Linked DNA regions of Ovis aries. The protein of the gene in region 1 interacts with the protein of each later gene in a biochemical or structural test. Links are inferred from orthologs where the notes say so. Each region holds a gene or a part of one and is shown in the gene's direction. Other genes may lie near its edges.

Region 1 (5,900 bases):
GTCGGTTACAGCGGGGCGCCCGGGGCTCCGGGCCGGGTCGTCCCCCCTCCGGCCAACTTGGGGATTCGGGTGGCCACACGGCTGACGTCCCATGGAAAGGCTCCCGTTAGTGGCACACTTGCGGGCGCCGCCAGGACCAGCCGGCGTAGAGCTTGGTTTGTAAACGTATCTTGGGAATCGGTGTCGGGGTGGGCTGGCTGCCGTTGAGCCCGCCGCCGCCGCTTCATCTCGATCAGTTAGGACCCCAGAACGCCTCTTAAGTTCCCCGAGCCATGAACATCTGGGGTGGAAACAAAATTCGGGCGGTCAGACTGGGAAGCTCCATGCTGGGTGGCTGGAGAGGGCCCTGGGCCGGCTTCTCGCCTATGCCTGCCTGCTCTCCCCTATGCCTGCCTGCTCTCCCCGTCTGCCAGTTACCTGTCCCGATCCACCCCTGGTCAGGTGTACGCTTCTCGCCCCCTTCCCAGTTAACACCACTTATCTGGACTATGTTTAGTTCACATCCATTCTCAAACTCACGCCGGGCCCAGCCTGAAAATGCTTAGAAAGGTCCCCGGGCAGCCCCCAGGGAGTTAATGAGGGCTTGAGAGTTCTCTGGGCAGTGGTCAGGGCTCTGTTATCTCTAGGTGAGGGGCCCTCGGTGTAACTTTAGGGTCTTGCTTACTTGAAAAGCCCAGCCTCTCTGCAAGTACTGTTGGATGCCAGTGCCTAGAGCTAGCACTCTGTCATCTGCACACCTTAGCCGAGCCGACCTCTGTGCAGGTGCGGGAGTGGCACGTGCGGTGGCCCCCCGTCAGCTGCGGGCCTCCATCCAGCCTGTGAAGCAATCCCACTGGTGAAGGGAGAGACTTCCGTGGGAGTCCTGGGCACGGGGGTGTCACGTGCGCTCTGGTGGGTCAGACCAAGGTCTCTGGGCGGAGAGAAAGGAGCCGAGCAGGCAGTGCTGGATGAGGGGCGAGTCTGTGTCCACGTAGTACTGAAGGGACTCTTGCCGGGATGTTGGTTCAGGCTACTGGCCTTCAGACTGTCTGCCCTGAAATTTTGTATGTGGACTGTGCTTCTTGTTTTGTTTTTGAATGTCTCCTGTGACACTTGTCCTCTGTCTGTGGGGACTTGGCCTGATGGGACCTTGAGATGCACTTCGGGGTCTGTGGAGGCACCCGATATGCACCCTGTGTGCTTGGGGAAGACGGAGAAACTGACTCACCTGTCATCCTGAGGGCACTGCTGATTATGACTTCGAAAGCAAAAGGGAGAGGAAAGTTCATTTGTGAGGAGCCAGGCAGAATCTATTTTGTTTTGTGTGGCTGTCCTCTAACTTTCGTGAAGCGTTGAAGTTGGCCACTTAATTGAGTTCAAGCACAAGTGTGTTTGAATTATCCGGTGAATTGGTACGTGTGTGGCAGAATGTCAGACTTAAGGTGCACAGTTAAAGGAAACAAGTCCTGGGTGATGGTCTTGCTTTTGACTTGTCATGGTGTTTGTTACTAGATGTTGTCCATGGCAAACCACCTTGGCCCCCTTGCCGTCTCTGGCTGGAGCTTAGGGGTGGTGCCAGGGGAGCACTCCCCTCTCAGGCTAGACCCTAACCACCCGCAGTGGGCACCCCAGCCAGCAGTGTCTGCTGGGGCCTGGTGGCACCTGTGCGATATGCAGCTGGGTGGCAGGAAGGCCAGCAAAGGGCAGAATGTGGAGGCACTTGACCAGGGGAGTCAGGCACTGGGCTGGGCAGGGGTGTGGCCACGTGGTTGGGGCTCTGAGGAGGGGTTGGCTCAGGCTGTGGGAGTGTCGGGGCCTGTGGGAGTCCGAATCAGGGGATAGAGGGCGGCCTGGGGCTGAGGACTTGGCAGGTGGCAGAGGGGTTGGCATATATTTGTTCAGTTCTGGGTGAGTCCTGAAGGGTGTGATCTGAACTGTGCAATGAGAAGGGTCAGTTGACTTCAGAGAACAGGATGGACTGAAATGGGGGGAGACTGGAAGCCAGAGGCTGGTCGGACGTCTCATGATAGTTGATGGGCAGTGTAGTGGGCCCTGCATCGGGGGTGTGTGGTGGGATGGAGAGAGTGGGAGCATATGGGTATCTAAGGTTTAGAGACCCCAGAGCAGGAAGCAAGGCTGGGTATGTGGAGGGACTACTGCTGCACCCTGGGGGTGCAGAGTGAGACAGCAAGCCCTGGTCATCATCTGGCTGGGTGGGTGCTCTGAGGCGGATCCCATGGGCACAGGGCAGGAGTCCATAGCCTCTAATGAGGCACCGTGGGCAGAGACTGATGGGAGGAAAGGTGCAAGTGAGGTGAGGAGGGTCCGGCCTGGTGCAGGGAGCAGTGCCAAGTGGGTACTGGCTGGGAGGTCTGCGTGGAGGTTTGGCTGCTAATATCCTGTGCTGTGGTGGGACAGGTTGGGAACACAGGTTGGGCAGAGTGATTCCTCACTTGCTGCCCTGTCTAGTCAGCCTCCCCCCTCTTCTTTCCATCCTGTGCTGCATACGCTGTGTGTCCTCCATCTCCACCGTGTTTTACACCAGTGGCTTTCTTGCTTTATTTTTAGCAGCAAAACTTTTTTGCTTATGCACCTAATTTCCATCTATGAGATGCTCTAGTTTGTTAAGTAGATGGAGCTGGAGCTGTTCTGGTGCCCCTGAGAGTGGGGAGCCCGTCTTCCACTTCCCCATCCCGCCCTCCTACCTCTGGAGCAGAGCTGAGGTGTCCCAGGTCCCCTGATCCAGGCCAGGTCTCTTCTCTTGAATGATGGCTGCTCCCTGCCTCCCATCCTAGCCTTCAGTACTGTCCTGTGCCGTCCTGTCCCTCTTGTGCCATCTTGTCTGTCCTAGTCTGTCCCAGTCATCCTCTGCTGGGCCTCCAGAGTGCCCTTTCTAATGGAAGATCTGATTTGACTTAATACTTGGGCTTAAAAACTTTGTGGGGTGCCGCCTGACGGCCTGGCCTCGAGTCCCTGGTCGGCCTTGTCAGCTGCCATTCACAGTGCTTCGGCTCCTGCTGTGGCCCAGTGTTGTGCCCTGGACACAGCACACTTCCTTACCTTTGCCTGTCCAGCTGCTCCTGCTTCCTCTTCTGTCCTGGATGTGTGTCTGGGTCTCTCCGGGGTCCCCTCTCTCTCTCCAGTCCCAGAAAGAGGCTCTTCCTCTATTCCCTTGTTCTCCCACCCACCTGTGGCCAGTGGTAAACGTGCTGGAAAATGTTTAACAAGGAGTTCTGGGAGGGGCATGGCACCCAGTGCAGTGCTGGGGGAGACATGCACATGGCTGGTGGTTGGGGCTGGCTTTAGCTCGCCTCCACTCAAGACCGGCGAATTCAAGGGCTCTCTCCCTCTGAAGCTTCTTCAAGGACACAGGTGAGTCTGCAGGGTCTCTCTTAACCTTTGTATCTGACGAAAGTCACATTGGCGAAGGACCTGCTGGGACAGGCGGGAAAGGAGACTCTGCAAGGCTCATGAGTGTCTGAGAGGGTGGGCAAGTTGGAGCGGCCCAGGGGCCTTGATTCCGGGTGGCAGAGGTGTGGGCAATGGGGGTTGCCTTGCTCTGTCCCGTGTCAGTGTAGACTTGTCTCCACAGATGAGCAGCAACAGCGGTAAGAGAGCACCGACGACAGCGACCCAGCGCCTGAAGCAGGACTATCTCCGGATTAAGAAAGACCCCGTGCCTTACATCTGTGCCGAGCCCCTCCCTTCCAACATCCTTGAGTGGTAAGGCTCTGCCGCCTCCTTCCCTGCACCACCTGCCACCTGGCTTCTCCCTGATGGGCTTAGGGCCAGAGGGGCCTCTTAGCGTGGGAAGGGGGTTCCTGTACGCTTGTCAGGCATGAGTGGACCGTGAAGCCTGCAGATCCTCTCTGGTTGTCTTCACAATGGATAGCAACCCAGGATGTGGCAGGCTGTCTTTGAGCTCTGCACGCGGGCCAGAGAGAGGATCCTTCCTAGGGGTGACTTTGGGGCCTGCAGCCTCACGCCTGTTGGAGAAGCTCCTTGTCTTGACTCTCCTTCTCTGCTCTTTGCTTCTTGATGCTGTGAGGTAGCCTGTCCTACGTTGGCAAGTTTGTGATGGGGGATGATGGGTCCTGAACCCCGCTCTGTGCCTGTGGACGTGTGTTTCATGGGAACTTGCCACGCCACAGAAGGGCTGCCCTTATCAGGTGTGCTGGTGACTTTGTGAGAAACAGTGTAGGGCTGAAACATTAAGGAGCATTTTCTCTGTTTGGAGGGTATTTAATATTTTATGTTTTGATCTTAAATACCATAAAAAAAGTTTTAGATCTAGAAGAAAGAGATCTGAGTTAAAAGTCTTTTCCAGATTGGACAGGTGTTCAAGGATTTTGGATCCACATTCCTTGGCTTGCAGAGAAGGGTGAGCGCTGGCAGGTGGGCAGAAGGTCTCAGGGAGTCCAGCCTTGGTGTATAGGGGAGACATCAGTGTCACAACTCGCCCTGCCCTCAGGATGTAGCTAGCAAATGGACAGACGGGCTCTGTGGCAGTCTAGGGGACATCCTGGTCGTGCCGGGGCCCCTCCTGAGTGGGGGTCAGGTCCCAGGTCTACTGTTAACCAGGAAGGCCCACTGCAGAGGAAGAGGCGCAAGGCAGCGTCCATCGGAGGCCAGGCACAGGCTCCCCTCCTCGCCACGAGCTGCGACAAGCTGTATGCTGGCGGGTTGTCCTTAGGGAAGCTCCTTTGGGGCTGAGCACCAGAGACTTCGAGGGGAGTGGGTCACAGGAACCTCTGCCTGGAGCCCCCCCAGTATTCCAGACTCCCAGAAGGACAGCAGGCTTCCTTTCAGCACTGACCACATTTTTGCCCAAACAGTCGAGGTGCCGTTAAGGTTATGAGACCCCCTGGCATCCAGTTCCAGACACCGGCTGAGGACGGCCATGTTGGGCCTGCTGTGTGGGCTCTTCCCAGCCAGGGTGTCTGTCCCCGCCACTGGAGAAGAGAGTAGTCTTCTGGAGAGGTCTGTACTCTAGGCCTTCCTCACTCTGCTGCCCTGGGGCTGTCACGCACTCTCAGAGCACTGCTTGCCCGGCCCTTCCTGATGTCCTCAGATTGGACACACAGATTGGGAGCAGTGACAGATTAAGGCCACGTTCCCCAATTTAAGGCCACCTTTCCCAGTTTGTTCCTGGTCTGCTGACATAGGATGATGGTATCTTTTGGCTCTGACCTGTCAGCCAGTAGAGAGCAGGGGTTGTCAGTGTCCTGGTGGGAAGTAGTGTTTGGAGAGGTGATACTCATGTGTGCACAGTTGTGTCTGGTCTTGTGTTTCTGGTTAGTTCTGTATTCTTCTTCGTGCTTTTCTGTTTTCTTTGAAAATTTATAAGTTCAGGGCTTCTTTGGTGGTCCAGTGGTTAGGACTCAGCTCTCACTGCCAAGGGCCTTGATTCCATCCCTGGTCAGGGAACTAAGATCCCGTCAACCACACAGAGCAGCCAAAAACAAAAAAAAATCGAGCAGTTCCAATGTTTCTTGCCATAGAGATGAAGTGTTGTTTATTTGTGTGGAGAGCAGAGTCCATGGGGCTGTGGCCCTCCGTGTGAGGCCTTTGGTGACCACCACGAACTGTCCCTGTCCCTCCTGCTGGAAGACAGCTGCTCTCGAGGTCACATCTGAGTCTTCCAGGGTTGCAGGGCCAGGGCACAGTCTCTGCGGGTCTCCAGCTATTCCTGGTGAGCTACTGCATGATATTTGGGCACACTGAAAAGCATCAGATTTCAAGTACATCTCAACTATAAATTGTGAATTTTTGTTTTTTTGTTTGTTTTTTCCCTCCACACTGCATGACATGTGGGATCTTAGTTCCCTAACTAGGGATTGAAACCTGGACCCCCTACATTGGAAGTGCCGAGTCTTAACCTTTGGACCTCCAGGGAAGTCCTGTGAAGTGAATTTTTAAAT
Region 2 (6,552 bases), on another chromosome or scaffold:
ATACCTGCTCTGACAGACCGCTAGCACGTCCCTCAGTAAATCTTTAAGTCTACCTATCAGAATCATCCCCTCTTTTGCTTTATGACCCCTGAGACTGGGTCTGAACTGGTGGCGGTGAGCTGCGCCCCTGGTCCGAGCTGAGTGAGACGTGCCCTGCCACAGGCCACAGAGGAGATGTGTCTGCTCCACATGTTGGGTGGGAGGGGTGGGGACTGAGGTATGAGCCTCCTTCAGATACAATTTCTTGGGAGACAATACAGTCCAAATAAATTTAAGGAAAAGTGGGCCTCCATTATTGCATCAAGAATTTGAATTCTTTCCCACCTTGGGCAACAGGAGTGACTGGAAAAATCAATGGCATTGGTCTTCAAAGGCTTCTGTTTTTCTGGAAGGTCTCCATTATCTTTAATCTAAGTCTCCTGATTGATGAGGCTTGCAGGAAGCAGGGATCTTCCCAATTCCTTCTCTCTCACAGACAGAAAAAGTCTTGCTAGCATTCTTAATTTATCTTTGCAATTCATTTACATAGTCTTTAAAATATATTTTCTTGGGATTACCAATATCTCTAGTTCTACTCAGGCAATTCAAAGATGGTGACATAACTTGTATTTTCTAAATAGATTTTTTTTTTTCCTTTTAAATTGGAGTATGGTTTATTTACAATGTTGTGTGACAGTTCTTCCTTTAGAGTAAAAAGCAGGAATTACAGTGAGGAAAGCTGTGTGCTGATCCAGGCAGGGCTGTCTTTCATCAGGCAGAAGCAATTCACCTCTGGCCAGGTAAACATCCACAGCTCAATATATCAAGCCCTGTGCACAACTTGTCGACTAAAACGATGTAATCACAACCTTAAAATAGTTACCTGGTGGGAATGCTTAGGACTCGGAGCCAGGGAGAAGGCATCTCAGTAGCTTTGAGAAAACTGCTCCAAGGAGGCAGGTGGGAAAGTCAGGCTATATACAAGTTTGCAACCAAGGGAGCAGCTGTCTGATCAAAGATTAGGTTATCAGGTTAAGGAATTTAGCATTCCAGGTATGGGAAGATGCAACCCTCTGGTCGCACTGAGCTCATTCCTTTCACACGCACCTCAGCTATGGGGGGCGGGGTGTCAACTCCGTTTCCTTGTTCACCTTGCATTTCCCCCAGCTCCTGAGCAATCGAGGGCGGGGTTGGGGTAGCAACATCCAGTGGATTGCAGTTTGGGATTCATATTTAGAGGCCATAAATCGCTGATGGCTGTGACACTTAATAACAAAGTGAGTGAAGTCGCTCAGTCGTGTCCGACTCTTTGAGACCCCATAGACTGTAGCCCACCAGACTCCTCTGTCCATGTAATTTTCCAGGCAAGAGTATTGGAGTGGGTTGCCATTTCCTTCTGCTGGGGATATTCCCGACTCAGGGATCAAACCCATGTCTCCCGAATTGCAGGCAGACGCTTTACCATCTGACCCACCATGGAAGCCCCCTTAATAACAAATTCTCACTTCACAGTTTGAACCAATTTCCCTTAGAGGCGGATGTTACAGCCTCCAGCCTAAGTAGTTTATTGAAGCGGTCCTTTCAGTCAAATGAAGAAGTCTCCTGGGGGAGGGATCTCGCTAAAGTTAGGACTTGCCTTTCTCATACTAATGATTTTAGCACTTCTTCAAAACGTGCATCAGAACTGCCCACAGGTGCGGAACAAAAGTGCCTATTCCTGGACCGACTCCAGACACGCGACACCGGAGTCTCGGGCAGGAAGAGGGGAGTGGAGCCGGGCGCAGGACTAGTCTTTTCACAGGCGCCCAGGTAGCTCTTCAGCCCCGGGGCCCGCCTGTGTGGTGCACCGCGGTGCTGCGGCGGGTGCAGGGCTCGCTCCCGCTGCCCTCGTCCCTTGGCTCCGTGCTTTCTCTGTCGCCGCCCCCCCGTCCCCACCTCGGTGTCATTAGAGTTCAGCTCCTTCTAAGGTTTCAGCCTCTCCGACCGCGCAGCCCTCTGGACAAAGCCCAGGTGGCCCGCGGCCCACGACAGTGGCCACCCGACGGCCTGTGGAGGGAGTTGGGGGCTGGGGAAGGAACGTCCCGCAACGCCCCCACGGCCGCCGCCCACTGAGCATGCGCACAGCGGCGCTGCCGGAAGTGACAACACACGTCGCGGAGGCGCCCCGCCCCTTCCGCCCGCACGCCCCGCCCAGGCCTCGCCCCTCCGCTCTCCCCGCCCCTCCCCCTCCCCTCTCTCGCCCGCTTTCTGTCAGCCTCTCTCCCTCTCCCTCTCCCCCCTCTCTCTCTTCCTCTCTCGCACCTGAGCACACGCACCTGCCCGGGCCCGGCTCCGCTCCCTCCTCCTTCCTCCCCTTCCCTCCCCCTTCCCCGCCCCGGCCGGAAGGCTCCGGTCGCGGCCGCTGGAGCCTAGCGGCTGCGTCACCGCCGCCCCCCCAGACAAGATGGACACCGCGGAGGAAGGTAAGTCGGCGGCGCCCGCGCCCTGTGCTTGCGGCGCCCGCGTTCCGGTCGGGCCCGTGCCGGTTCCGTGCGGCGCTCGAGGAGGGCGGCGGGGCCCGGGCGGCGCGTGAGGTGGCGGAGTGGGCGGCGGGCGCCTCCGCTCGGGTCAGGGGCTCGCGGTGACAGCGTCGCGAGCGGGCGGGACCGTGGCGGGGCCGGCACCCGGGCCGTTTGCCCCGCGGAGCAGCGGGGCGCGAGGGGCGGCGGGGAGCCTGCGGGGGACCCGTCGGCGCCTCCAGCCGTTCCCCGCGCGCCCGCGCCGGTCGTGGGCCGGGGGCGTCGGGCTGCGGTGGCCGGCGTGGCTCCCCGACCGCCCCCACTCCGTCCCGCCAGCCCCGGGGGGCGACGGCGCCGTCGTCGCGGCTGGAAGTCTGAGGGGGCGTTTTCTACGTCCTTCTTCCCCCCACCCTGCCACACTCGGTTTTGTCCGTCTTTTAACGTTGCTTCGCCCGGCCGTTCCAGCGGCCCGACCCCTTCGCCATGAAACTTCTTTGTTGACTCTGAAACTTCGCGAAAAACACCTCGCCAGGTGACGGCCAAATGACCCCTATTTGAGGCCCTCGCCCTCTTGCTCGCGTGCCCCCCACCGGTAATTTGTTTACAGACGAGGAAGGAGCAGGCCTAGCGAGGTTATTCGAAGCAGGAAGGCTCTGAAGAGACTCCTTTTGTTTGGGTGCAGTTTATTTTGTGCTCAGCCCCTGACACCGATAAGCAGAGTGTGTGTGTGTGTGTGCGCGTGTGTGTGTGTGCGCGTGTGTGTGTGTGCGCGTGCCTGGTGGGTGCGTGTGCTTTGACACCAGCTGACTCGTAAGCAGAATACAGAGGTGAAGACACAACTGAACATCTGTGGCTATTGACATGCGTTTGCTTTATTCAGTGGAGGTAGTTAGGTTGTTTCTAAGCAATTTTATCTTCCTAGAGTCTATCGAATATTGGGTAAGTGTATAGATGAATTTACTAATTTGTTTCTTGTTTCGATTATCAGTGGAGATACGTTTATGCTTGAGGTCTTATGTGGGGATGTGATAAGCGTCTTTCAGCCTTTCAAATTGTGACTCTTGGTGATTTTAGATGAAGATCGTTGAGGACTGTTCTGGTATGCAATAATTAGTGGTAGAAAATATGATATTGTCCATATATTTAATGAGTGGAGGGGATCAGTGTATCATTTTTTTAAAGAAGTCTTTCCTTGGATAATAAAAGAACCTCAGCCGTAATGATATTTGCATGTTATACTTGACAGTTTACAAAGCATAGTTACATGCCTTCACATTTGATCTTACTAAGAGCCCTGTGGAGTAGGTAGGTATTATTATCTTTTATAGATGTGGAAGTTATTGGTAGTTATTTTAGTTAAAGTTTGTCCAGGTTTCACACCCGATTAAGAAAAATTTGGTATTCTAATTACAAATAATTTTCCTTTCATTGTGTTTTGGATGTTTCTATTATGTACTGTGACTGAAAGGTCATTGCCACAGGAGACTCCTTTGGAAACAGTCAAGTGAAACTGCTGAAATTAAGAATGACTTTTTTTGGACAGGTGGTCCTAGTGTGTAAATTTCGGTCTACATCCATACATCCTTTTGGGTTCAAATTTTAATGACTGAACCTAGTAATACATGTGTTTATTGATTTATCACTTGATATATACCGGCGTCTTTTATTAAGTTCTCATTCTTTGGGCTTATGCACTTAGTACCTGCATACACTTACCATATGATAGTGGTGATTCAGGAATTGCAGAATCTCAGTCTGTGTGGAATTGTGGAAGACATATTTTCAGTGTGCTTCTTAGTGCACTGTGTTTTTTTTTTTTCTTTGTAAAATTATAATCAGGATGAGGTATAAATGATGTTTATGTACTAACTCGAACACTATTCTCTATTGAAATAACTAACATTTACTGAAGGATTGATGTATGGCATGTCCTTCACTAAACATTTTACACACAACTCACATTTTACACACAAACACTTACCGGTAGGTAGCACTCTCTTTTCATAGATGAGGAGACTGAGGGTTAGTATGATTAAGTAACTTCGCCAGCGTCATAACAGGTGACCGATGTCAGAGGCAAGATTCAAACTCAGTCCTGTTGGACTTCGTGATTACGTTCAGACTTCATGTTTAAATTAGATATTTATAAGTGGCTACGCTGTGTCTTCCTGGTGGCTCAGGTGGTAAAAAAATCTGCCTGCAGTGCAGGAGAGCTGGGTGTGATCCCTGAGTGGGCAAGATCCCCTGGAGAAGGAAATTGCTAACCACTCCAGTATTCTTGCCTGGAGAATTCCATGGACAGAGGAGCCTGGCGGACTGTAGTCCATGGAGTCACAAAGAGTTGGACACAACTGAGCAACTTTCACTTCACCTTGTATCCAGTGTTGAGAAAACTGAATTTTTGTCACTCCGTTTATAAGATGAATTATTTACATGATTGGCAAAGTGTCACTTTGCATTTGTTTTATGACACTGTTAGTTATGAAAGTGACTTTTAATACTTCTCATGCCTAATTTTGCAAAATTCCAAATTAGAAGTCTTCTGAAATTTTCAAATTAATGTAAACTTAACTTGAAAAAAGGCTGGAAGGAGTGGGAGGATTACAGATTTCATGAAAAAATGATACAGTGATGATACCAAAAAGCTTGGAAGCAACTTCTGTTTGCTAAATGAGTTACTACAGGTTATTTCTTAAATTAAAAAAATGCAGTTGGATTTTTATCTGATTATAAAAGAAACTTTCTTTTTGTAGGAGACTTGGAAAATATGGCTAAACATAAAGAACATAAAAATTTTTAAAAATCTTTAAATTTTATCACTCATTGTTAATAACACCAAAGACATTGTTTACTCACCTGTTTTTTTTATTACGTTAATATGAATAGATTGTTACTGAAATACCAACCAGCAAATAGTGTTAACTCTTCCATCTCTTTTAAAAATGCTTGTTGCTTTCCCCTAATGGTACCATATATGATGGTATATTCTCAGAATGTTTCATATTTGTAGTAAAAACCTTGAATCATTACAAAATTGATTATTTGCCAGATTTTGACGCTTCATATTTTTGTTTGTTCTGTATTAAAGTGTTCAGTATATTAAATCTTATTTTTGCAAAACCAACAGGTTTATCATCATTCTCATAATACAGGCATGCCTTGATTCTATTGTGTTTCACTTTATTGAGCTCTGTAGATAATGATTTTTTTTTTTAATTGAGGGTTTGTGGCAACCCTGCACCAAGTCTGTAGGTGCTGTTTTTCTAAAAACATTTGCTCACATGTATGTCTCTGTGTCACATCTTAGTAATTCTTTCCGTATTTCCTTTTTTTTTTCCTTTCCGTATTTCAAACTTTCTCATTATTACTGTATTTGTTACAGTGATATGTGATTTACTACTATTACAGTTGTTTTGGGACACCATGAACTGTGCCCACAAAGAGAGCAAACTTAACTGATCAATGTGTGTTTTCTGACTGCCCCACTCAACTGCTGTTGCCATTTCTTTCTTTTCTCCTCAGGGCCTCGCTATTCCCTAAGACACTTGAAATTAGGCCGTTTAATAACCCTGTAATGATCTCTTTTAAGTGTTCAAGTGAAAGAATAGTTGCCTGTCTCTCACTTTAAATCACAAGTTAGAAATGATTAAGCTCAGTGAGGAGAGTACGTTGAAATCCAGGATAGGCCGAAAACTAGGCCTCTTGCTCCAGCTAGCCAAGGTGTGAGGGCAAAGATAAAGTTGTTGAAGAAAAGAGTGCTGCTGCAGTGAACATACAGATGATAAGAAAGGGAAGCAGCTGTATTGCTAATAGAGTCTTAGTGGTCTGGAGAGATCAGACCAGGCCCACACTCCCTGAAGCCAAAGCCGACCCAGAGCAAGGCTCTCACTCTTCAGTTCTCTGAAGGCTGAGAGAATGGAGGAAGCTGCAGAGGAAATGTTTAAAGCTAGCAGAGCTTGGTTCATGAGTTTTAAGGAAAGCAGTTCTCTCTTTAACGGCAAAGTGCAAAGTGAAATAGCCAGATATCTAGAAGATCTAGCTGAGATAATTCTTAAAGGTAGGTCACACTGAAAAG

Evidence for each region.
Region 2: the proteins of UBE2J2 (region 1) and MARCHF6 form a complex in vitro, tested with the Homo sapiens proteins (2 studies listed by BioGRID, with this or other methods). The link is inferred for Ovis aries from reciprocal best matches to the Homo sapiens genes UBE2J2 and MARCHF6.

The regions. Positions count from the first base shown.
Region 1 is NC_056065.1:50,559,914-50,565,813, forward strand, and holds part of UBE2J2 (ubiquitin-conjugating enzyme E2 J2), read left to right. Parts: intron 1-202; exon of another isoform or gene 203-3,351; intron 3,352-3,571; coding exon 3,572-3,702; intron 3,703-5,900. UniProt on the Homo sapiens protein: Catalyzes the covalent attachment of ubiquitin to other proteins. Seems to function in the selective degradation of misfolded membrane proteins from the endoplasmic reticulum (ERAD).
Region 2 is NC_056069.1:62,994,634-63,001,185, reverse strand, and holds the start of MARCHF6 (E3 ubiquitin-protein ligase MARCHF6), read left to right. Parts: upstream 1-2,415; 5' UTR 2,416-2,422; coding exon 2,423-2,441; intron 2,442-6,552. UniProt on the Homo sapiens protein: Endoplasmic reticulum membrane-associated E3 ubiquitin ligase that plays a critical role in mitigating endoplasmic reticulum stress, the regulation of cholesterol and lipid homeostasis, and ferroptosis.